Oryzias latipes: one gene and its partners. The protein of the gene in region 2 purifies or fractionates together with the protein of the main gene of each other region. This does not show direct contact. Links are inferred from orthologs where the notes say so. Each region holds a gene or a part of one and is shown on either strand. Other genes may lie near its edges.

Region 1 (3,653 bases), about 8.3 Mb from region 2:
TACAGAAAAAAATGCAATAATTTAAAATACAATACCTTTTATGATAGATTTATAGATCATATTTGTATGCAGCAGATTTCTTCTCATTGGAATCAGATCACTGCTGTTGTTTTGGCTCGGAGCAGCAGGGTTGCAGAGAAAACTGCTTTTAAAGTGGACATGCATACAGTAGAGAGGGTATCGCTTCTCTTGTCTGCACAAAGAGTTAGCTATTCAACACTGAACTGAAATAGTGGCACCAGGTGAGGATGTTTCTCTTCGTTACAGCACAAGTAGACACTTCTTAATATTTAAAACTGATTTGTGTTTGCAAGAATTCAATGGCAAAAGGGGATTCTCAGCACCTTTCTTGTCTCAATTTAAAGTTATTTTATCCTAAATATTTATTCTCTTCCAACCTTTGTTCATCAACAATAAGCACAAACATCAATCTCAATGGGAAGCAGAAGCGTTATGACACATTCTGCAGTTTGTTACGGTTGTTTTGCTGAAGGGAGCTACTTTTGCTCAAACTCGAACTTTATATAGCGCCTTTCATTTCAGTTAAAAAACACAAAGCGCATGCTGTGCATGTCTGCCAGAATTGGTTGTCCAGCTCATGGAAAACTGAGCCCTATAAACCTGAGAATCTGGGTTTGGTATCAAGGTAAAACCTCTGTTAAAAACCCCACTTGCACAGCCAGTTGTGCAGCCAGTGGCTGTGCAGGTGGGTTTACAGGAACACTTTATGCTGTATGCAAATGATCTGCAGATTATTTAAAACCCTAATGCAAAGACTGCTGTGTCTGTGCGCACCTGCATGTTTGTGTGGGTTTATAAATATCTATGTGTGTACATACACATCCATGTACATAAAAAAAGCTTTAAACCAAGTTTGGATTCAAAAAATTGTAATCATTTATTTTCATCTGCAAAATACTATAAAGGAACATCAGAAAGTTCTAAATCTAATCGATGCAATGTTTGCTTTCAGAGCAGCATCATTTCTACCAGGCACACTTGCACACGGTTTCTGAAGGAACTTTGCTGGTTGCTCCAAATGTATTGGGAAACTAACTTCTTCAGAAGAGCTTGAACATCTTGAGCCCCAGTCTGCTTTGAAACCTTTGTCTGGGAGAGACCTTGCTTTTTTGCGGACACACTACCTCGTGTCTTTTTTTGCCATGAAAATGTCTTTCACAGCCTCTCCTCGGTAGCTGTTTGGCTGTTATTCTCTCAGTTTAAAGTCTTTTACACAGCGGTTTCTGTTTCGGTTCATGACTGGGTTTCAAGGTTTTGCGGATCTTCTGCACCCGTTCGGTATCATTTGTTGATCAGACACCTGACTGTAACCATACAAAACAGCTGACTTTGCAAAAGTGTCTCTAAAAGGTTTGATCATGACTGAAGGCAAAGGTAAAAACATCAAGAATTTATTTGATTTAGATTTTTCTTTCTCCTTTCAAAGCTGTGAATTTTGACCTAAATCTCATAAGTAGTTTATATGATATTTTTGACACAATCTGTGTCATTTAAAAGAAAACCTAAAAATTAACTTTGTATGTTTTCCCTGTTTCCTGTGAGCTGCCATAGCCCTGTTAAACACTTGCTTTAGCTTTCAGCGATTTTATTTATTTTTTTCTTTTGCTGCACTTGTGTTTATCAATCTCACACATTTTAACAAATTTCCTTTAAAAAAAAAGGTTCTTTTGCTGCACTTTTAATTAAAGGGTTTTACAAGTGGAGTAACTCATTCAATGACACATGTTAATTTAAAAACCTTTTCTCAGGAGTTGTTAAATAAAAAGCCTGTTTTATGTTTGAGACCTTGTGTGTTTCTGACGTCTCAATGAACGTTTCTCCCCCATGCAGGCAGAATGTTCCAGCTCCCTGTCAATAACCTCAGCAGTCTACGAAAAGCAAGAAAAAATGTCAAAAAGGTCCTGGGAGACATCGGCCTTGAGTTCTGCAAGGATCACTTGGAGGTGAGCATGCTCAGTTTGGACGTTCTATAACAAACTTCCGTGCTTTTGTCTACATAGTAGAAGGTCCCAGAGTTTCCTCTAGACTGTTGGTTGTGATCCTATATGGTTCGAAATTTAGTAAAGGATGCAGTTATGCTTTTTTATGAGTTGTGCAAGTTTGTCTTGCGTATTAACATGGCATCGTGTTTTTCGTCAGTCCTCTTTTTGGGGTTGTGTTTCTGCAAATTTGAGTAACACCTTGAACAGCCATTTAAAAAGAAACTCATCTTTCCTTAATATATTTAATACTATTTTGTTTTGTTTTTTAATATAAAGCTCTAATTCAAAAATGAAATTGTCTGAAAGTGGTGCACAAAAATAAAGGTATGATAAAATCCAATTTAATCCATAAAAGATGAGTGAGCAACATTGAAGGGTTTTGATTGTAATCCTTAGTCATTTTTAAAATAATACAATTATAGATGTTTGACACTGTCCTACACTTTAAAATGACAAAGAATGGTGTAAATATTTAAAGAAAAAACTGATGTTTTTTCCTTTTTAAGTTGTTGTACATTACTGTTGTTTTTTTGTTTTATACTGACACCTTTTTCAGTTAACTTTAAGATGCAACTCGTTCATAAAAATTCCTAATATCCTGTAATATGCAATGGATTCTAAAATGGGACTGTGCTGGCTGAAATGATTCAGACTCCTGGCAAATGACTAGAAGTAACATTTATTTAACCAGCAAGTTTGCTACTGTTTGTAATGACACAAGTGTCTCCCAGAAGGTCCCTGGATGAAATCCTAAAGGAATCAAAGCTTCCACTTACATTTAAACAAATGTCCAAAATTGTCATGGTTTGAATAGTTGCAGGTGTGACTGGAGCTGGATTTGTACTTTAGTATGTTTTAGATTATTATGTGTTTAGACACTGTAAGTTTGCACATATGTGCTATTTTTCTGTGGATCTGTATGAAATTATTATATCACTTTCTTTGCCTTTTAGGACTTTAAAGACTTTACTCCTCCGGAGGTCTATATCAAACACACAAGCTGGGAAGATGTGTGCATGTGGGAACCATCGCATACCAAAGTCCAGGTCTGTAACGACTCGCCACCAGAACCTTAAGAACTTTATTTCTGTTCAAGTTTTAAAAAACTAATAAAGACTTTTGAATTTTTGTGTCTCCAGGACTACAGATCAAAGCCTTTCTGCTGCTCTGGCTGCCTCTTTTCATCCAAGTACTTCTCGGCGTACAAGAGCCATTTTCGCAATGTTCACAGCGAGAACTTTGAGAACAACATCCTGCTCAACTGTCCCTACTGCACGTTCAACGGGAATAAAAAGACTCTGGAAACGCACATTAAACTCTTCCACATGCCCAACAACGCCGCGCGGCAGACCCCTGGTGGGATGGTGGCAGGCACGGGTGGGGTCATGATGAAGGATGGTCTGCTGAGGAGGACCGGAGACACTGTGGAGCAAGCGGTGTACTACTGTAAAAAGTGCACCTACAGAGACCCTTTGTACAATGTGGTACGAAAGCACATCTATCGGGAACACTTTCAGCAAGTGGCTCACCCCTATATCGTGAGACCAGGAGAAAAAGCAGGTGCCCAGAATGGGGGGACCCTGGGGGGTCCAGAGACCAACAATGCTACCAGTAACCAGATTCACTGCAAGAAGTGTCTGTTTGTTCCTC
Region 2 (3,753 bases):
GGGGAAGTTAGTCATTAAGGATTGCCATTTTCTAATTTTAAAAATCTAAAGTGGATTTTGTACTATTTCTATAATGTGCATTAAATCAATGGCAAAACCTTAGCTGTCCAATTTGACATGTTTCCTCACTGATTCCTTTGCCGCCTTAGAAGAAAGGCTGCCTTTCAGTGTTAAGTTGTACATGTTTTACAGGGTGTGCGCCGTGTTTGCATGCAACATGTGAATGTCAGAACACAAAATGTGCCCATAAAAAGTTTCACAGAAAAATTGTACACATTTTGCACACAATGATTCTACTGGAACCTGAAGAAAAAAAAAAACACTTTTGCGTTGGAATTGGTTAATACTGCCCTCTGCTGACAAACGGCAGTAAATAGGTTTTTGATGTGTGATTCTAAAATTGCATTAAATCTATAAAGTATATATATATATTTTTGTCAGTTTGCAGGGTAATGTTATGAAAAATGTAATTTATACTGTAAAACGAAGTGAACACATGAAGACCTTGAAACACTCAAAATGTTTATTAAAGGATGCTACTATACATGTATACTTGGAACATTTCTCTCACACAATAAACTACTGACTTTAAAAAATGTATATTGTCAAAAGGTAAATAAAACCCATATTTACATTAAAAAATGTGCTGGCAAGGAAATGTATGGGTAGTATCAAAAGGAAGATGACAGCATTTCTTATCAGTTAAAAACAAGCAGTCTGTGAATCTGCAGACATTTGGTCCAATGCTTCTCTGCAGGCTGCAAAACCAGTTTCAATCTTCAACAACAAACCATGTATTTATCAGGGTTAGTCACCTTAAAATTCAAACTAATGAACAGGTGATAAGGAGCTATTCAAACAATATTTTTTGTAATTCATTAAAACTACTGAAGCTTTTTAGCAGGGGGAGCATGGAAAAAGAAATGCAAATAAATAAATCTAGTCTTTATTGTTGACCACAGTATTAATTTCAGTTATCAAAGTGGCAGCTAAGTTTCTCCTTTGAATGCTAGCTGAATTTTATTTTGAAAGGGCGCAAGATCACACAATTCATGCAAATTAAAAGTAAAAAAAAAAAAAATCATTCAAACAATGATTGGGATATGATTAAAAGTACAGAATGGAGAAAAAAATGTCTTTATTGTATTTTTTCTTCTTCTGGCAACACTGTCAAAAAAAACAGAAAGAAAAAAACCGCAAAACAATCATTTGACGAAACAGCACAAATTAAAACCAATATACATCACTACACAGACGTGCACCTACATGACTAAACAGGTGCACCAGTCTTCTCAACTGCAGGCCAATCCAGCTGCCATGTCATTAATTCAGCTTTCACAATTATCATAGTTTTTACATTTAAATTTCATGAAGGTGATCATGTCCCTTTTGAAGCATGTTATGGTGATGGATGTCAAAACATGAAACAGATGAATGCTTCAGGAAGATGAATGATCAATGGAATCCTGAACATCAGATCAACATCTACTCATTGGGACAAATATTTAGGATTTTTTTCTTACCTTAATCTGAAACAAAAATATTAAACTACAACAAAGAGAATTGATGGCAGAGTAGACGTCATGATCAAATGATCGCACATGTTTGAGCGTTTGGTGAGAGTGGCCCTGTTAAAAATTACCGGTTACAAATATTAAAAAAAAAAAAAAAAATAGAAACAGTGGGGAAAACGATTATTAAACACGTTTAAAAATGAATCAGGTGTGATATCTGCTGCCTAAAGGGGTAAAAAAAGAAAGATAAGTGAATAGCTTCAACATTTTCCTGTCAAAGAAAAGATGTGCACTGTTTACAACACAATGATGGGGATCGGGAATTCCCCCCTAAACCGTCAAATCTGGTACTTGGGTCTGGATTTGCAACTTTAACAGATGGCCACCAGTAATAGTTTCTCCAGATTTCTTCCTAGTAACATTTTTATGCAAGCACTTTAAAAAACAGGGAAAAGATAAAGACAAAAATGTTAAGATATTACAAAAAAAAAAAAAATCAATACAAAAACAGTAGAAACATTGCCCAGTAGCATATCACCCAGGTCCACTAACAAACAGCTTTCTATTTGATGGATCCTTTACAGAGTCTGGGCCCTTGTGCTCAATGAGGCATGAGTGGAGAAAACAACAAAAGGGATGCACTGTTTTTGTTTCACTGTTGGACAAAGTGAGGGATGGAAGTTTGGGAGAAGGAAAACAAAAAGTCCAACAGAATGTTTTCCCTGCAGTGGAGGTTTCCTCCAGAGGTGTTGCACTCAAGCACTGACAGCATCCTTCTCCTTCTTGTCACCGTCTTCGTGCCAGGTGAGGCGCTCCTCGTAGAAGGCTATGACGATTTGTGGACACTTATGATTGGCCTCCTTGGCAAGAACAAGATCCGCCTCGTCTGAATCTTTCCTAAAAGAGGGTAAAGCTTGAAATATTTTTGCACCACACTTCACTAACTTAAGTCCAAATAAGGCATTGTGGGATTTCATAAACAAGCTGTAGGCGGTTGCACTCTATCCTAGTCTCTGTGAAATGGCATTTCACTGTTATATTTCTAAGAGGTTCATTTACACTGCAATTTAACCATGTATTGAGACAGCATCAAGTGTTCTATCATAAAACCAAATAAAATGGGTAAGTTGGCAAGACAAACTTTTCATCTGGTGCAACAAAGGTATAGTCAGACTTCATCACAGGTGTTTTTATTTGTTCTTTCGCTCTAGGATTAAAACTGATCACAGAGAATTTTCTATAAATCATAGCAAATGAGAACAATTCTAAATTCATGATTATTTTTATGGATTTGTAAATTTATTCAAAGTAAAAGTATCAAGTCTGCAACTCAAATATGAGTCCAGAACCAGGCATGAGTGATGGTGCACTGCGTATATCCATCTAGGTAATAAGAGATAACATTAATTTTATGGTTTGGCTTCCTGTTCATCTATGGACAGACAGCCCGGTTACTGAAGTTTCTAATGGGTGATTTGCCCAGTTAACCGACACAGTCAAAAGCCTTTTTTTTTTAAGAGTCATTCCCTTCCATGTTGCAGTCAACAGTAAAACAGTCTGTGGTGATTGCACCTAGCGGAGCAGCAATTTCACACCAGATCATCATAATCATCATCATCCCAACAACAAAACTTACCATTTCATGAGGAACATTAAGTCTCCGCATGAATCAGTGGCTCCAATGATTTTCTCTGGCTCAAGTCCTCTTTCAAAGCCACGGGCTACTAGAATTTCCTCCTGTAAGAAACAAAGAAAAAAAGTTCAAACCTGAGGAAATGTTTAAAACTGTTTGTTTTTGTCTTTTGATTCTGTGCTTTAACCTCATATTTACACTTTACTGCTCTACTGGACAAATGCCGTCAGATATTTTATTGAAATTCCTTCTGTGTATAAACAGATTAATACTTTGCTTGTTTTTGCGGTAATCATTTTCAATATGTCTTATTGGTTTATGTATTATAAACAATTTTTTAATCCATGTCTAATTGATTTTAGTTTCTTTTAGCCCCCCAAATATTACTTTTATTGGATTGTATGTAGAATTGTGCTGAAAAGGCTGATTATTTGTACAAGGTGCAAAATGACAGAAGTAAAGCACTGAACACATACAGACAGATTGAGCATGTTGACATGCACATCAACTAGTTGATCGCCTGACTTATTGACCTTTTGTAATTTTCAGGACGCCACAAAAACAGGATGCGAGATCAAGACATGTGGATTTCTCAATGGTGAAGTG
Region 3 (3,753 bases), on a different chromosome or scaffold from region 2:
GGATCTTTCTAAAATATGAAAATCAAGCATTGCCACAAAAAACAATTTTAAATATGAATTAATAAAAAGAAAAAAAAGGCTCCAGACTATTAAGGAACTGCCTCATCAAACTTCCATGAATCCCAAATGAGACAGTGATCCCACATGATGTGATCCTGTCGTTGCTCAGTTGTGCAAGCCAGGTTGGCCATTCCTTTCCTCGCCATTCGGCCACCCAACCATGCATGCCCCCTTCTTGCTGCTCTGCCCCCCTCAGGCGCCCACATCTGAGCAGAACCCCACGCCTTTTGTGTTGGGGCCCCCTCTCTATATGTTTGCAGCTGCTGGACAACAGTCTGCAGCCATGGTGGTCACAACACACAAAATAAATGAGGAGAAAGATTGATTTAAATATTTATTACTTTATTTGAATTAAAAAAAGTATTGATGGAAAAAAATCTATCTATCTATCTATCTATCTATCTATCTATCTATCTATCTATCTATCTATCTATCTATCTATCTATCTATCTATCTATCTATCTATCTATCTATCTATCTATCTATCTATCTATCTATCTATCTATCTATCTATCTATCTATCTATCTATCTATCCAGTGATGGATGCATCTCCTCCAAAGTGAACTGCAGATAACCTCATGACGTAGCAACCATAGTATCAAGCCTATATAAAATTCGGTGTGGCCGCGCGCGTCTGCTGCTGCTTTGAGCCGCTCATAAGGCTTTGCAGATCATCTGACTTCAGTCTTGATGAAGGATGAGCTTCTCGGCCACAGACGTTGTCCATCCTGCTGATGCTCCCTCGTCTCGTCGTAAACTCTTGTGCACCCTCTGGTGCTTGCTAGTCTCCCAAACTTCTTTGTGTAGCCTGCTTTGCAGATTGTCTTCCTTGTCTGTGTGGTTGCTCATTATTCAGAGACAGACGGATCTCAGGTCATCTGCAGCTGCAGCAAAGGAGAAGCAGGAAAGATGGCGATCATCCATTAGACCGACCGGGCGCACGCATGAAATACGAGGACAACTTTCGGGAGGATCGCTTGAGGAGGAGATTGAAGCAGTGAGTTTGTTTTTATTGCCTCCGTTCTCGCTCTATTTCCAGTTTCGGCAAGATTTCGTCAAGGTCTGCGAGAACGTCGGGTTTGGTGGATCATGGGATTTAGCGTGGAGAGCGCCTCGTGAATGACCTGGAGCGCTTTAGCCGAGGTCCAGACGAGGAAGTCGGTGGGAGATTTTTCTAGCCGCTTTGACTGGCACCCATGCAGTCAGAGTCAAGTGGGTCTTCTCGCTTCCCCCTGATATCCTGACCCAACGGCTTCCTCGCTATGTCGCCTCTCTTGTTTGTTGTCAAAGTGACTCAAGGAAATGGACGGTGTTAGGAGGCTGTCTTCATCAGCGGGGGTTTGTTATGTCCGGCTAGGACAGGAGGGGGGGAATTACCGCGCGTCCCCTGTCCGGCTGGAGCACTAGCTTCATGAAGAAGCCGTTGAAGCAGACTCCATTAGCGACAGAGGAGCTGCTGTAGCCTCTGGTCCAGTCTCCATGAAAGCCTGTGTGAGGAAGCTACACCCCCTCCTCCCCCCATCTCTTTGATTTTTTTTCTTCTTCTTATTGAAACCTTATCCTCTAGCTTATTTGTTTATTTATTTATTTCTGACCACAGAGGCTAGGTGTCTCGTGAAGTCGCGCGCGCGCTTAGTCCGTCTTGCCTTTAAACGATTATCGCTAGCTTCTTCGTCCTCGTGGCTACATTTTGTGTGACCCCCCCCCCCCCCCCACACACACACAGACACACGCGCACGCGCCGTTCCTCGCGCGCTGCCTGCTCGCTGTCACAGCTCCCCAGTCAGGTACAACCACAGAGCTCCACCATAAAATGGAGGAAAGCAGATGAGTCTCCAAGGAGAACCTCAGGCAGGAGCACCCACAGCAGAACAAAGGTTCAGAAAAAAAGCGCGACCTCCTCCTCCTCTCCGTTCCTATCCTTCTGGGAAGTTCAACCCTCCCCAGGGAGCTCCTAAAATAAAAGTGGGGTACAAGTGTTTCCAAGCTTTATTTAAAAACAGGGATTCACATAGGTGAGTGGGGTTTGCCAGGTCTGGGCTGGAAAACCTTGGTGGCTGAAGGAACCTGGAGATGGGGCTGGAATTCTAATGTAGACCAGTGTTTTTTTGGCCACGAGGTGGTTAATGTTCAACCAAGTAGTGTCAACAGAACGCAGTCATCTGTCATGAGCATGCAAGGCTGAAGTAACAACTGCTCCTTTTGAGAAGTTCTCAAGAAGGTTCCCATTTTGTCTTGCATCTCCTTTAAAATTTCAAAATAAAAGCGGTTCTTCGGTATTGGTTTTCGTTTAGAGGTGCTGGTGCTTTTATTTTGATTTTTGAGTACTTTAAAAGTTATTTCGATCAATAGTATTAATTAGCGGTGTGTTGTAGTGCGCCCTGTGTCCACTGCAGTGAGGCGCTCACATGTTTAGTCCTGAAGGTGTCCAAGCCTGGCAGGGAAGTGAAGGAGGTGTTTGTGCATGCTGTGTGTGTGTGCGTGCGTGCACGTGCTCTGCAGTTCTCCTGGCCACTCTGTGAAATCTTGCTGACAAAGAGGCTGTGAGCTTGACACAGTGTGCTGCGACAATACCGGGGCTGGGAAGAGCAATCAAAATGGTGGCGGCGCTCCTTCCTCCTGCCTTAGCTGAGCAGACAGGTTCTCGAGGAGGAGCGGGGTGGAGGACAACCGATCAGGATTCTGCTGCAGCTGACACATTTGTCAGGCAGACAGTGGATCCAGTCTGCCGGCGGTTGTGCAAATGAGCTTTCAGATGTGGAAGTGATTGCTGCGTGCTGAGCTCTCTGCGTTCCTCCAGCTGCAGTAACTTTCACAAGTCTACCTCAACTCTGCGTGTCCTTGAAGCAGGTGCTCCATGAGATTCCAGGTTTTTTTGAGGGGTTAACCTCCTGGCTTTTGGGGACCTGAGGTCCTCCAGTTATGTGCACGAATGTTGCACATCTGTGTGGTAATATTTACCAAGGATGTGTAAAAGTCAAACGTCACACAGTCATAGACTTCTCAATCATTTATTTATATTATTAGAGATTAGTAACAGGCTATTACAAGCTAGTAGGCATTTATCTGCTATGTTTTTTATTATCCTAAATTGACCCTTTTTATCCTCTTTCTGATCATAAACTGTGTTTATTAATACTTTTCCTCTAAAAACATTGAGTTCAGCATTAATAGAGGTTGCTTATTGAGGTTTATGGATGCCAAAGGAGTTCCAGTTTGCATAAAGATGTGGTTTGAGTTGTTATGATTTGTGCGTTTTTCCTGCTTTGCTGTCTCTTCTGAAGTTTAACGCTTTGCCAATTCTTCTTTACTCCTCTGTTTATGGCCACTGTCAGAAGCCATTAAGTAACAATGTGATCTAATAGTTTTATTTCTATCGTCTTAAGCCTTAGTCCAACTGCCCTTTAGGGATAGATTGGGGGTAAAAAATGGGCAAACCTGCATGCGGCATACAGGTGGCCCGCATGAAATATCAAGGTTGTTGACCTCTCTGTGATCCTGTAAAGTGAAAATGTTCATGCACTCCTTTTTTCTACCGGCATGCTGCGAACAACAGTTTAAAGCAAAGACTTATACAACGCCCAAGGGTAAAGTCAGGCGGGAGTAGGTGAGACGCAGGTGTGTCTCCCCCCATGTCCTGTGCACAAGGGGGCATTGGTGCTGTTTACGTGATAAAGTGCCCAGCCTAGCAG

Evidence for each region.
Region 1: the proteins of cbx5 (region 2) and activity-dependent neuroprotector homeobox protein purify together in Homo sapiens (affinity purification with mass spectrometry; 4 studies listed by BioGRID and IntAct, with this or other methods). This does not show direct contact. The link is inferred for Oryzias latipes from reciprocal best matches to the Homo sapiens genes CBX5 and ADNP.
Region 3: the proteins of cbx5 (region 2) and znf462 purify together in Homo sapiens (affinity purification with mass spectrometry; 3 studies listed by BioGRID and IntAct, counting the BioPlex papers as one, with this or other methods). This does not show direct contact. The link is inferred for Oryzias latipes from reciprocal best matches to the Homo sapiens genes CBX5 and ZNF462.

Annotation. Positions count from the first base shown.
Region 1 is NC_019865.2:4,529,090-4,532,742, reverse strand, and holds part of activity-dependent neuroprotector homeobox protein, read left to right. Parts: intron 1-1,851; 5' UTR 1,852-1,856; coding exon 1,857-1,964; intron 1,965-2,956; coding exon 2,957-3,049; intron 3,050-3,142; coding exon 3,143-3,653.
Region 2 is NC_019865.2:12,831,530-12,835,282, forward strand, and holds the end of cbx5 (chromobox protein homolog 5), read right to left. Parts: intron 3,252-3,753; coding exon 3,151-3,251; intron 2,412-3,150; coding exon 2,270-2,411; 3' UTR 502-2,269; downstream 1-501. UniProt on the Homo sapiens protein: Component of heterochromatin that recognizes and binds histone H3 tails methylated at 'Lys-9' (H3K9me), leading to epigenetic repression. In contrast, it is excluded from chromatin when 'Tyr-41' of histone H3 is phosphorylated (H3Y41ph).
Region 3 is NC_019870.2:9,245,331-9,249,083, forward strand, and holds the start of znf462 (zinc finger protein 462), read left to right. Parts: upstream 1-945; 5' UTR 946-1,058; intron 1,059-3,753. UniProt on the Homo sapiens protein: Zinc finger nuclear factor involved in transcription by regulating chromatin structure and organization. Involved in the pluripotency and differentiation of embryonic stem cells by regulating SOX2, POU5F1/OCT4, and NANOG.